Elephas maximus indicus: one gene and its partners. The protein of the gene in region 3 purifies or fractionates together with the protein of the main gene of each other region. This does not show direct contact. Links are inferred from orthologs where the notes say so. Each region holds a gene or a part of one and is shown on either strand. Other genes may lie near its edges.

Region 1 (3,747 bases), on a different chromosome or scaffold from region 3:
TCAGCCAATTCTGGAGAATAGAGCACCTGAAAACCAAAAACCAAACCCACTGCCATCACGTCAATTTGAACTCATAGTGACCCTATGACCCTAGGGCTTCCAAGGCTGTAAATCTTCAGTGAAGCAGACTGCCACATCTTTCTCCACTGGTGGGTTTGAGCTGCCGACTTTTTGGTTAGCAGCTGAGTGCTTAACCACTGCACCACCAGGGCTCCTTAGTACACAGCACGGTTTCATCTTATCTACAAAAGTGGCAACAAGAGGATCGGGAAATCCTTTCTCTGGATGCCCCATAAGCTCAGGCACCACCTGGCGCGTCTCAGGAGGGGGAGAGGGTGGAGTGGGAAGGATGTCAGTTACCATAGCAATCTGTAACCTCCCCTCTCATGAATGTGTCCAGAAAGGTGGGGCTAGAAGTGACAGAAGCTGTTACCATGACAACCCCTTCCCTAGACATGTTCCAACTCAAAAGACAATCCTAAAATGTCCCCTACCTTGGTAGGGTTCTGGGGCCTGGTTCTAGGGTCACTGGAAGGGGACTGACCCTGCTACCATAGCAACCAGGGCTTGGTTTTGCCTGTTTCTCACCTCCCTGGGGATGGTCCAGGCCCTGTAACCATAACAACTACTCCTCATCAGAGCATCTCTTCCTCTAAATAAAAACACCTGGTTGGTTTGGCCCAGGGGCCTCCCACGAAGGAAAAGAGGGTGATGGTTACCATGGCAACTCCAACTGGGTGGTGTGGGGGGTTAAGGAAAAGGTGCTTCTCAGCCATTAGTCTTCTTGGGGCTCGGGGTCTCTTCTACCTGGGTGCTAGGTGAGGAGGAATGCCATAGTAACCGAGGTCGGTCGTTAGGGGCAGAAGGCCCATCAGGACCAAGATTACCTTAGCACCTCCTCCAGGTATGTGGGGGTCCATAGCCACAAAGGTGGGGGAGAGGAAAGACGCGCGGGGGGGGGCCCTAGGCTGGGGGGAAGGGTTACCATGACAACCGCCCTGGGCCAGGAAATCAGGAAGGTGCCACGGCCGAAACCACCCCCCCGTGGTCACCCTTTCTCTCAAAGAGCGAAAGTGATTGTCGAGGGGAGTGGTATTTGGGGCTGGAGAGGGTAAGACACTCTCTATTGGGCGACGCGAGAGGAGGGGGCAAAAAGTGGCCCCTCCCAAAGACTCGCTTCTCCGAACGGGGAGCCTCGCGCCCCGCCCACCCTTCCCGCCCACCCCCGCGCGCGCTTTCGGGGTCGACCCCGGTGGGCGAGGCGCGCGCCCGGCCTCGCTCTCGTTTGCTGCCCCTCCACCTCCCGCCGGGCGCGCGCGCAGAGGTTGGCGCGGCCGCGCAGGCGCGCGAGGCACAGCGGGCGCGCGGGCCGGCCCCGGGGCCTCCATGATGGAGGAGCGAGCGGCCGCTGCGGTCGCCGCCGCCGCCTCCTCCTGCCGCCCGCTGGGCTCCGGTGCGGGCCCTGGCCCGAGCGGGGCGGCCCCGGCCCCTGCCCCTGCCTCCGGGCCCGGCCCGGCAGGTAAGGGTGGTGGCGGCGGAGGCAGCCCCGGGCCCACAGCGGGGCCGGAGCCCCTGAGCTTGCCCGGGATCCTGCACTTTATCCAGCATGAGTGGGCGCGCTTCGAAGCTGAGAAGGCCCGCTGGGAGGCCGAACGCGCCGAGTTGCAGGTGAGCGCCGCCCCGGGACCCCGGCACCCCCACCCGGCCCCCCGCCCGGCCCCCGGCCCCCGGCCCGGCCCGGCCCGGCCTCGCCTCACCCGCCGCCGCCGCCGCCGCCATCTTGGAGCAATGGCCGCCGGGACAGCCGGGGGGGCGGGAGGGGACCGCTGCCGGCTCGCACAGGGAGTGAGGGGACGTCTGAGGGGGATCCTGAGGGAATCTGGGGGCTGGGACCGGCTCTAACTGGGTGTAGGGGAGACCCGGGGGCCGGAGGGACCGACTGGGACCGGCAGAGAGAAAGGGGCGGGAGGAGACCTGACCCGGCCAGCAGTGGGAGTGAGCCGCCCGGCCGAGGGGTTCCCCAGGGAAGGGGACTTGGGGCGGGAGGGGAACCTAAGGGAACTCACAGGAAGACTGTGAGAGGCGTTTGAGGGGTCTGAGAGAGATCCGAGTGGTTTCGCATGGAAGTGAGCAAAAGCTTGCAGGCAGCCGAAGGGGTACCGAGGGACTCCCACCTCCTCCCCGACCAACCGAGGGATGGAGGTGGAGTCTGATGGTTCCGGGTGGGAGAGAGGGGATGTCTACGAGGACTTGGGACCCGCTGAGGGCGCGGACGAGTCCGAGCGGGGAACCGGGATGATAGAGAGGGTGTCAGAAGCCTGGGATGGGGCATGTTTGGGAGCGTTTGGACGGGAGCACTAAAAGATGTCTGTGTGAGGACTGGAGTTAGAGGCGGATCCGACGGGTCCAGGATGGAGGTGTGTACCCTCCCCTGTAGGGAGAAAACTTTGGCGAGTTGTGGCATGTATGGTCACAGTTTGGGGAAGGGATCCTTTGCATGGAGATTTGGACAGGGCAGAGGATGTCCCCTAGGAGCCTGTGTGGAAGAGCTTGAGAAGGAAACTCCAGTTTGGGGGTGTGGAGGAGTAGGGGGCTGGCCGTGAGACGGGAGACGTGCGGAGGATGTTAGATAGAGAACCTTAAGCTGGAGAGGTGGGGTGTCAGGCATGCATACTGTAGAAAGGAGGAGACCTGGGATGGGGGCAGTGAGGAGGCATCTGGGGAGGAGGCATCTCAGAAGGATCCTGGGGGAAATGTGTTTGTGGAGTAGTTTGGAAGAGGGATGTGCCCTGGGATGATGGGTGGAAGCAGCCGGGGAGTTGGGCTGGGTTTTGTGACCTTGAGGAGCATGGGTCCATTTGCACAGTGCTTATTTTTTTTTAGTGGATCCTGGGGATCAGAGATGTGAGAATCTGAAGGGGTCCAGGGACAGCATGAGGTGTCTGAGGGTTCCTGGCCTGGGGTATTATTGGTAGAGGTTGTCAGTACCTGCTTCTAGCAGCCCGTCTTTCCTCAGCTGATTTGCTGTTTCCTATGTACCTGAGGTGGAGACTTAAATAAATAAATAACAAAAATTTTATCTATAGTGTGAATAGAGGCCTCTCTCCTCCAAATTCAAGGTATCTGAATACATCCCACAGTTCTCCGACCCCACTGGGCATCTTAGCTGTGTGGTAGCGGAGGTTCGGGGCTGGGCTGGGGGAGGAATCCTTATGTAAGTGCCCCTCGCTTCTGTGTTCATTTCTGTACTCTTCAAGCTCTTTCCCAGTTTACATGCCATTGGATCCTCTCAACACCCCATGAGGTAGGCAGGGCCATCGTCATTACCCTCATAATGATAAAACCAAAAAAATCAAACCCATTGCTGGAGAGTTGATTCCGACTCATAGCAACCCTGTAGGACAGAGTAGAACTTGCCCCATGGGGTTTCCAAGGCTGTAATCTTTCCGGAAGCAGACAGCTGCATCTTGCTCCTGCAGAGTGGCTGGTGGGTTCATACTGAGTGCTTAACCACTGTGCCACCAGGGCTCCTTCGATAATGATAGCAGCTGCCAATTATTGAGCATTTATAATGTGCTAGGCAGTGTATTAAGTACTTTAAATACACGCTATCATTTAATCCTTGCAATAGTCTGGGAGAGTGAGTGATATTTAGCCCCTCCCCCCATAAAAAAATCAGAAGAGGAAACAGACTTGAAGAGGGTAAATAATTTATCTAGGATCACAGCCCGTAAGCGGCAGAGCTGG
Region 2 (3,747 bases), on a different chromosome or scaffold from region 3:
TGCTCAACAACAGCAACAAAAGAAATAAAACTTTGAGAGAAACACAAAATGCCAATGACACCCTGCTGAGAAGCACTAACCTGGGCCAACAGAACCCCACAGGATAAGGAGTTGTCAACCCTACAAAATACATCTTCTCTCACAAACATCCCCTATGAGGAAGAGGATTCCAGGCTAACCCTCAGAAGTCTACTAATCACTCAAAGAAACTGAAATATTATGAAAAAAGAAACAAGGGGGAAAAAAGGATTGAAAATGAGAAAAAGAAAGACAAGAAAGAGAAGGAAGAATAAAGGGAAGATGAGATACCCATAGACCAGCAAACTGAAGTGGGTCATCTACACAATATTAGGGTAGTCTCAGCAGCATGCTGACAACTAACAACAACGAGTTAAATGAGCTTTATGGGCTGACCAGGTGCTAACCACTAACTTGCTTTCGAAGGTGAAGCACACTGAGCTCCAAGCAAACCGACTGAGAAGGAACTCGTCAAAAACAGCACATTTCCAATTTGGAGGCCTTGCTGTGCTATACTCTACGTGAACCAAAAACCAAAACCCAGTGCCATGGAGTTGATTCCGACTCATAGCGACCCTATAGGACACAGCAGAACTGCCCCATAAAGTTTCCAAGGAGCGCCTGGCAGATTTGAACTGCCAACCCTTCAGTCAGCAGCCGTAACACTTAACCACTATGCCACCAGGGTTTCCATAGTCTACATACACTGTGAAAATAACATACCACGGTCATACAAGGGTGACTTTGTTAACACAAAGTGAGGTAGAGTCCAAGCGCTATGGTGAGGCTTCACACTGAGCAATGTAAAAGCTCATAAAACCCAGCAACCAAGTCAGTAAAAATGAACAAGGTACGCTCTGGGGTTGCTAGGAAAAAAAGGACACGATAGAGACGGTGTCATTTAGAGTTCTGCCTGCTCTGGAAGTGGGCTGGCCTCCTTAATGTATGGTTTAAAAAACTGCCAGGAATTACAAGTACCATACTTTTAACCAGGATTCCCTTAGCTCATAAAATGAAACAAACATTCATCTGCAGAAAATGAAACTATCTGTTCACCTTCATTTCCACTTGAAGTACTGCACTAAATACATCGACCGGGTTATTAATATTGAGATGCATTTTTTTTTCTTAAGCAATTTCTAAACAGTTTTCAATCATGGAGTTGGGTTTCTAACGTCTTTTATATACCAAATGGACCCAGGATGCCTGAATATGCATTCCAGACTTTACAAAACACTGACCTTGATTCCTTGGTTTACCAAGATAATCACTGACAAGCAGTCAGGAGCCCTGGGTAGTTTTTATTAAGTGAGGATTGTTTTTGAAGCTAGTGGAAACCCCTAAAATATCCTCTATTCATACAATTAGAAATAAGAATTACTGTTTTCAAATTTATAAAGTACTCCAAATTAAGAACCCTTCAAAGCAATTTTGGGGGCCACTCCCACTGAATCCCAAGGAACCCTTGGTGGGTGTGTCCCATTCCACTCAGCCTGCATACACCTGCCCAGACTGAATCTCCACTGTCACCGTCATCTCCGACACAAACTGCTAAGGATTAAAGGATTCTAGGGGGTGGGGAGACAGAAGAAACATTCATTTCCTTATTTAAGTACAAACAAATACAGCAGTGAGTGGCTGACGCTCACTTTCCACAGCTACAATCTTTCCCTTACCTCCTTCCTCCCAGGATGAGGTAGGATGACCCTCTTCTTTTTCAAGACCAATCCTAAAAGCTGGGCTTTAGAATCCATCCTTCTCTCCTCCAGGATACAGCTTCACCAACTTCAATTTATCCCACTCTACTGGCTCTTTGCCCTTGTCATATCAACGTGCTCAAGTTTCTTCAGTAAAAAAAAAAAGTCCTTGACCCTGGTCATTCCTTCACTCCTTCCTCTGTAGTTCCGTTCAAGAGGAGGTCCCCTGAAAGTCATCAGGACCAGCCAAGTCTCCACCTACCACCGGACTCACTCCTCAGCCCACTGCAGCCTGGCTCTGCCCTCATCACAGCCCTGAATCAGCTTTCGCATGGGCACCGATGACGCCATTTCTGCATCTCCTCTGTGGCAAGCTATACACTCAGTAGCCACACACTCCTCTGAACTTTCCACTCCCTTGGCAGCTGCAACCCTGCTCTGCACTGTCTTTGTCCAACCTCCCTAGTCCTTCTAACAGAAATCTTCACTTGTAGACTCTACCCTTGCCAGACCTTCCACGCAGACAGTCCCCAAGACTCTACACCTGGCCTCCTGTCCTTCCCAGGGTTGTCATACACAGGCCCATGGCTGGGGGCCGTGCTTCCCAAACCTGCCTGGTGAAAGTCACCTGGGAAACTTAAAGAAAGAGATCCCAGCACGCTTGCAGACATACATGGGGGAAAGCACACAATCCACCTTTTAAAATGCTCCTATTGATCATCATGAACAGCCATCTCAGTAGAGAAACTGTTTAAAATTATTGTGTAAATGATAACTTTCAAATTGTTATCTCCAGCACTGCCTTTTGAGTTTTAACTCCTAGTACCAATTACTAGATATTGTCTCTCTCTACCTGGACATCTCAAGGTCAACATGGACAGAGTGAATCTGCCATTTTACCTGTTGAACTGGACCCTCCCTGCCATCTTCTCCCTGCTTCTCACCCATCCCCTTTTTTAAACTCTGTATCTACGGCATGTCACTGATGGTCAATAAACTTTCCCTCAACAATAAGGAAACCCCAGGTTTACAGTGACACAAATGAGATTCTGGTTAGTATTACAGAGAATATCCTAATTCAGAGAGACAGGAGGCCCTGGGAAAAGGGGCATAAGGATGACAACATCTCTGGCTAACAAGGGTAAGGAACAGGTGATGAGGGCCTGACTTTGCTAAGTTGGGAGCAGTCGTTCGCAAATCTCAGTCTGCATCAGGGTCACCTGGAGGGCTTGTTAGAACACAGATCTGGGGAGGGGCATTTCCAGAATTTCTGAATTTGGTAAATGTGGGGTGGAGGCCAAGAATTAGAGAGTTTCCAGGAGATGCAGATGCTGGTGGTCCAGGGATCACACTTTGAGAGCCGCTGCTTAGACAAAACGTGAAGAGAAGCAAAACAGCTTTGACAAGTCGATGTGCCACTAAAAAATGACTTGTTTTAGGTCAACTTCAACCTGACTATTCCCCTGCCCATATTAAGAAAAAAAGTAGCATGTCCTTTCTGAGAGTTAAATAAGAAAAAGAAGCCAACAAGAATTTATCCAAGCCCCTACAATGCTGGAAAGGTGCTTGACTGGAAACTCTGATAGACTGCCATGCCTCCCAGTGCCCACACCCTCTTTACACCATGGCTTTGGCACTCCTCCCTCCAAGTCAAGAAATAGAGTCTACTTCCCCATCTCTTGAACCTTGGCTGGCCTTGTTACCTGTTTTGACCAGTAGAACCTGGCAGATGTGATGATGTGGGGCTGCCAAGCCAAGGCATCAAGAGGCCTTGCAACACTCCCTTCTTCCAACCGTGCGACGACCAGGCAGTGAAAAAGCTCAGAATCAAAGACCGTGCAGTGAGCGAGGCCCATCCCAGCCACTTCACTGATCCTACTTCAGATCCCGGATATGTGAATGAGGTCACCATAGACCATCCAGCCTCAATCATGCAGCCACACGCTCACTGTAGCCACTAGCTGATTGCAGCCACATGAGGGAGCCCGGAAAAGGCCAGCAGAACCGCCCAGTCAATCCACAGAATGGTGAG
Region 3 (3,747 bases):
GCGTTTCTCTGACCTCTCACTAAGGCTCTGGCACTCTCACCCCTTCACCAGGCTCCTAATTCTCTCACTGCCTTAAATTATTCATTGGAGTATAAATTCTTTCTCCCATTAGAACATAAGCTCCCTAATGGGAGAAAGGGAGCCTGAGTGGCACAAGAAGTTTGCCATTGGCTGCTAACCTATAGGTTAGTGGTTCAAATCCACCCAGCAGCTCCATGGGAGAAAGGCTTGATGAACTGGTGATCTGCTTCCATAAAGATTACAGCCAAGAAAACCCTATGAACAGCTCTATTCTGTGACACATGTGGTCGCGGGGTTTTTCTTTGAGAGACCTTGTGTCTTATTCTCTGCTGTGTTCCCAGAGACTAAACAGTGCCTGGAATAAAGAAGACGCTCCAAAAATATTTATTAAATTAATGAATGAAAAAGAGCAAAGTTTGACGTACAAACATGACAAGCAAAACTCTTATAAACTGATATAACAAATGACAAAAAAGTTGTTTTTCTGACTAATTTTATTTTCAATGTATTAATTGAATTAAAACCAAAAAAGTACGCAATTAGAGTAAAACGATGACTGAGTAAAAAACCCACATTAACCAAAAGCCAGTAGAAAAAAGAGAAACCCATCAAGCTTAGGAACAGGAAAACAAGAACCCGGCCAGTGCAAGCCGTCAGCTCTGCGGTGGGCGGGGCTGAAGCGAAGGCGCAGGTTAAAGCGGGTCAACCTGAGGACGTATCTGTCATTGCGCAGGCGCATAGATCGCGGCGGCTGAGGCGCCTGGCCAACTTTCCCGGAAGTGACGTATGTTACGCTGAGAAGGGTTCAAGGAAGATCTGGGCGCTTTGCTTAGGTGAGCGGTGCGGACAGGTGGGGTCGTGCATCCGCTATGACCTGCACCATCGAAAAGATCCTGACAGACGCCAAGACTCTGCTGGAGAGGCTGCGGGAGCACGATGCGGCCGCTGAGTCGCTGGTGGATCAGTCGGCGGCACTGCACCGGCGGGTGGCAGCTATGCGGGAGGCTGGGGCAGCGCTTCCGGACCAGGTCAGGCAGAGATGGGGGATCCGTGCCCTCGGGTTCTGGGCGCTTGAGGTGTGGACTGCGAGGTAAACTGAGAACTCGGCCTGGAATTTGTTCCCGGTCTTAGAGGGCGGCGGTGAGGCGTCTGCCGAGTTGGGGCTGAGAATACTGCCTGGAGCTCTGGCTCCTACCTTTTCAGTTGTATCTGCCCCTGTTTTCGGCGCGCTTAGTCTGTCTTTCTGTTTGTCCAGTATCAAGAGGATGCATCCGATGTGAAGGACGTGTCTAAATACAAGCCTCACATTTTGCTGTCCCAAGAGAACACGCAGATTAGAGACTTGCAGCAGGAAAACAGAGGTTAGTCAGGCTTTTTGTGTAGTTACGATTTTTTTTTTCCAGTAGCAGTTCAGAAATTCTTGCAGAACTGCCTTAACTGTTCACAAACGTGGACATCCTATACGTATTCCCAGGTAAATACTTTTAAAAGGAGTGTCACTTGCTAGACCAATAATGGTGTGGTGTAATTGCTAAATATCTTTTTCAAGGTCATCTGACTGATTTAGCATTTATAGACGGCTCATCAAAGTGGTGCTTAATAGAATTGAATTATTGCGTGGTGTGTTTAAATATCCCCGGATAGAGGCTTGCGTAACAAAGGAGTTCATATTCTCAAAGGGCTTAGAATTTAATGTTTAAATAGTAATCGAAATAAACATTAAAGTTAAATTTTTTTTTTTACTCTTATCGCATAAGGTGCAGGAACAGTTCTATCCTCAGGATATATATTCTTAAACATGTTAACTACGTTATTAATGATGGTAGTGTTAATTAAAAAAAATTTTTTTAATAGTCACTTACATATCAGTTTACAGAAGGTTTTCACATATTACTTCACATTGTATTCTTGTATCTTCATTTTGGTATAGGCAAGCCTGGTATTTATTATTACAGTATTGCAGCTGAGAAATAGACCCAGAGAGGTTAAATGATTTGCTCAGGAGTACTTTTATTAAGCTAGTAAGTCACAGAACTGTACTCAAACCTGTGTCTTCTGATTTCATACCCTACGGTGTTTCTACTAGACTATGGTGTCTCTGCCTAGGAAGTTATTTTTAACATAAACCTTAGCTCTTTAGTTTTGTGGATTTAAACATTGATTTACAACTTTGGACTCACAGTATCTTATGGAGTGTCGTAAAATTCCAACTGTTAAGAGTTTGGTTTTGGGAGTGGTTTCTCAGACATTGCTGCCAAGTTATTTTATTTTTTGATAGAACTATGGGTTTCCTTGGAGGAACACCAGGATGCCTTAGAACTCATCATGAGCAAGTACCGGAAACAGATGTTACAGTTGATGGTCGCTAAAAAAGCAGTGGATGCTGAACCAGTCCTGAAAGCTCACCAGTCTCATTCTGCAGTAAGAAGCTCTGATAAGTAAATTCTAAATTAACTGAATTGAAATCTGGAAATTATTTTAGATTTTGTGTTTGATTTCCAAGAAAAATAACCTTGTGTTTCCTTTCATGTTTATCACAATTGCTGTTTATTTTGCTTTAGCTTTGTAAAGATAATCAGAAGGGGATGAGGAGCTACTCAGTGCCTTTTATTTGAGTGGCCCACGGTTCCCTCCTCTCCCTGTACCGCATCAAGATCTTTTTTCAGAACGCTAAGGAATGCTAAGCACTTGCACCAAACATAATGCCAGTTAGTGTTGAAAGTGTCAAACTGAACTGCATAGCATCATGCTCTATTGTTAGGAGAGAATAGTGGTGTTTAAAAAGTATGTGTAGCGTAGTTTCTACACTTAGGCTGCTTATGATTTAATTTGGGAGACCCAATAATTGTACTTATATTTATAAGATGCTTCACAGTTGTCATGGTACATTCACAGGTACCATATCACTTAATTCTGGGTTAATAGATTGAACCTCGCTGTTTGCTACGGTGGAATTTAGTGAGAGATCAATTTCATCTTAGATTCTGTTGACTTTATTGACTTAACAAAAGTCTTAAGGAATAGGGATAGCTACATTTAAGCTTTCATCTAGAGGAGGAAAATGAATTTTACCAATTTACTGAACCTTGAAGGAAACGATTTATATGATATAGGAGAACTTTCTAAGATGTCCAAAGATGGAAAAAGGCACCCTGGAATGTGATAAGCTTCCTCCCAATGAAAGCGGGAGAACTTAAGTTAAACAGCCACTTAGAGATATTGTCCAAAATCCAGTGGTTACACTAGAACTGGCTTTTTGAAAATAGAAATTATTTCTGAGTATTACAAGGCCACTTTATTACGGCTTTACTCCTGAGGACTCAGATTATGTAGTGAAGCTTCATTGTAACCTCTGTAGCATGGATTAAATGAACTTTTTAAATCATAATGCATATGTTCTCATGAGCTTTATATCTGTAGAAATGATTACTTTTTCACCTTTTCTTTCTTAATACCGTCACAGGAAATTGAAAGTCAAATTGACAGAATCTGTGAAATGGGAGAAGTGATGAGGAAAGCAGTTCAGGTGGATGATGACCAGTATTGTAAGGTTCAGGAAAAACTAGCCCAATTAGAGGTAAGATTGTTGCTATTTTAGGTCTACAATGTTTCACGGAGTTTTCATGAAGTCTGGAAGATATATATGTTATTACTGTTCTGTCACTGCAATGTATGCATGTTTCATGTGTGCTCAGGATTTTTTTTTTTTTTTTTTCCACTGTACCT

Evidence for each region.
Region 1: the proteins of SIKE1 (region 3) and STRN4 purify together in Homo sapiens (affinity purification with mass spectrometry; 3 studies listed by BioGRID and IntAct, with this or other methods). This does not show direct contact. The link is inferred for Elephas maximus indicus from reciprocal best matches to the Homo sapiens genes SIKE1 and STRN4.
Region 2: the proteins of SIKE1 (region 3) and STK24 purify together in Homo sapiens (affinity purification with mass spectrometry; 4 studies listed by BioGRID and IntAct, with this or other methods). This does not show direct contact. The link is inferred for Elephas maximus indicus from reciprocal best matches to the Homo sapiens genes SIKE1 and STK24.

Annotation. Positions count from the first base shown.
Region 1 is NC_064829.1:102,266,670-102,270,416, forward strand, and holds the start of STRN4 (striatin-4), read left to right. Parts: upstream 1-1,251; 5' UTR 1,252-1,386; coding exon 1,387-1,668; intron 1,669-1,757; exon of another isoform or gene 1,758-1,795; intron 1,796-3,747. Other genes in the region: ribitol 5-phosphate transferase FKRP, read right to left, coding at 1-56. UniProt on the Homo sapiens protein: Calmodulin-binding scaffolding protein which is the center of the striatin-interacting phosphatase and kinase (STRIPAK) complexes.
Region 2 is NC_064832.1:93,223,906-93,227,652, forward strand, and holds the start of STK24 (serine/threonine-protein kinase 24), read right to left. Parts: upstream 2,637-3,747; 5' UTR 1,773-2,636; coding exon 1,695-1,772; intron 1-1,694. UniProt on the Homo sapiens protein: Serine/threonine-protein kinase that acts on both serine and threonine residues and promotes apoptosis in response to stress stimuli and caspase activation.
Region 3 is NC_064821.1:165,760,628-165,764,374, forward strand, and holds the start of SIKE1 (suppressor of IKBKE 1), read left to right. Parts: upstream 1-808; 5' UTR 809-890; coding exon 891-1,049; intron 1,050-1,276; coding exon 1,277-1,382; intron 1,383-2,299; coding exon 2,300-2,442; intron 2,443-3,484; coding exon 3,485-3,598; intron 3,599-3,747.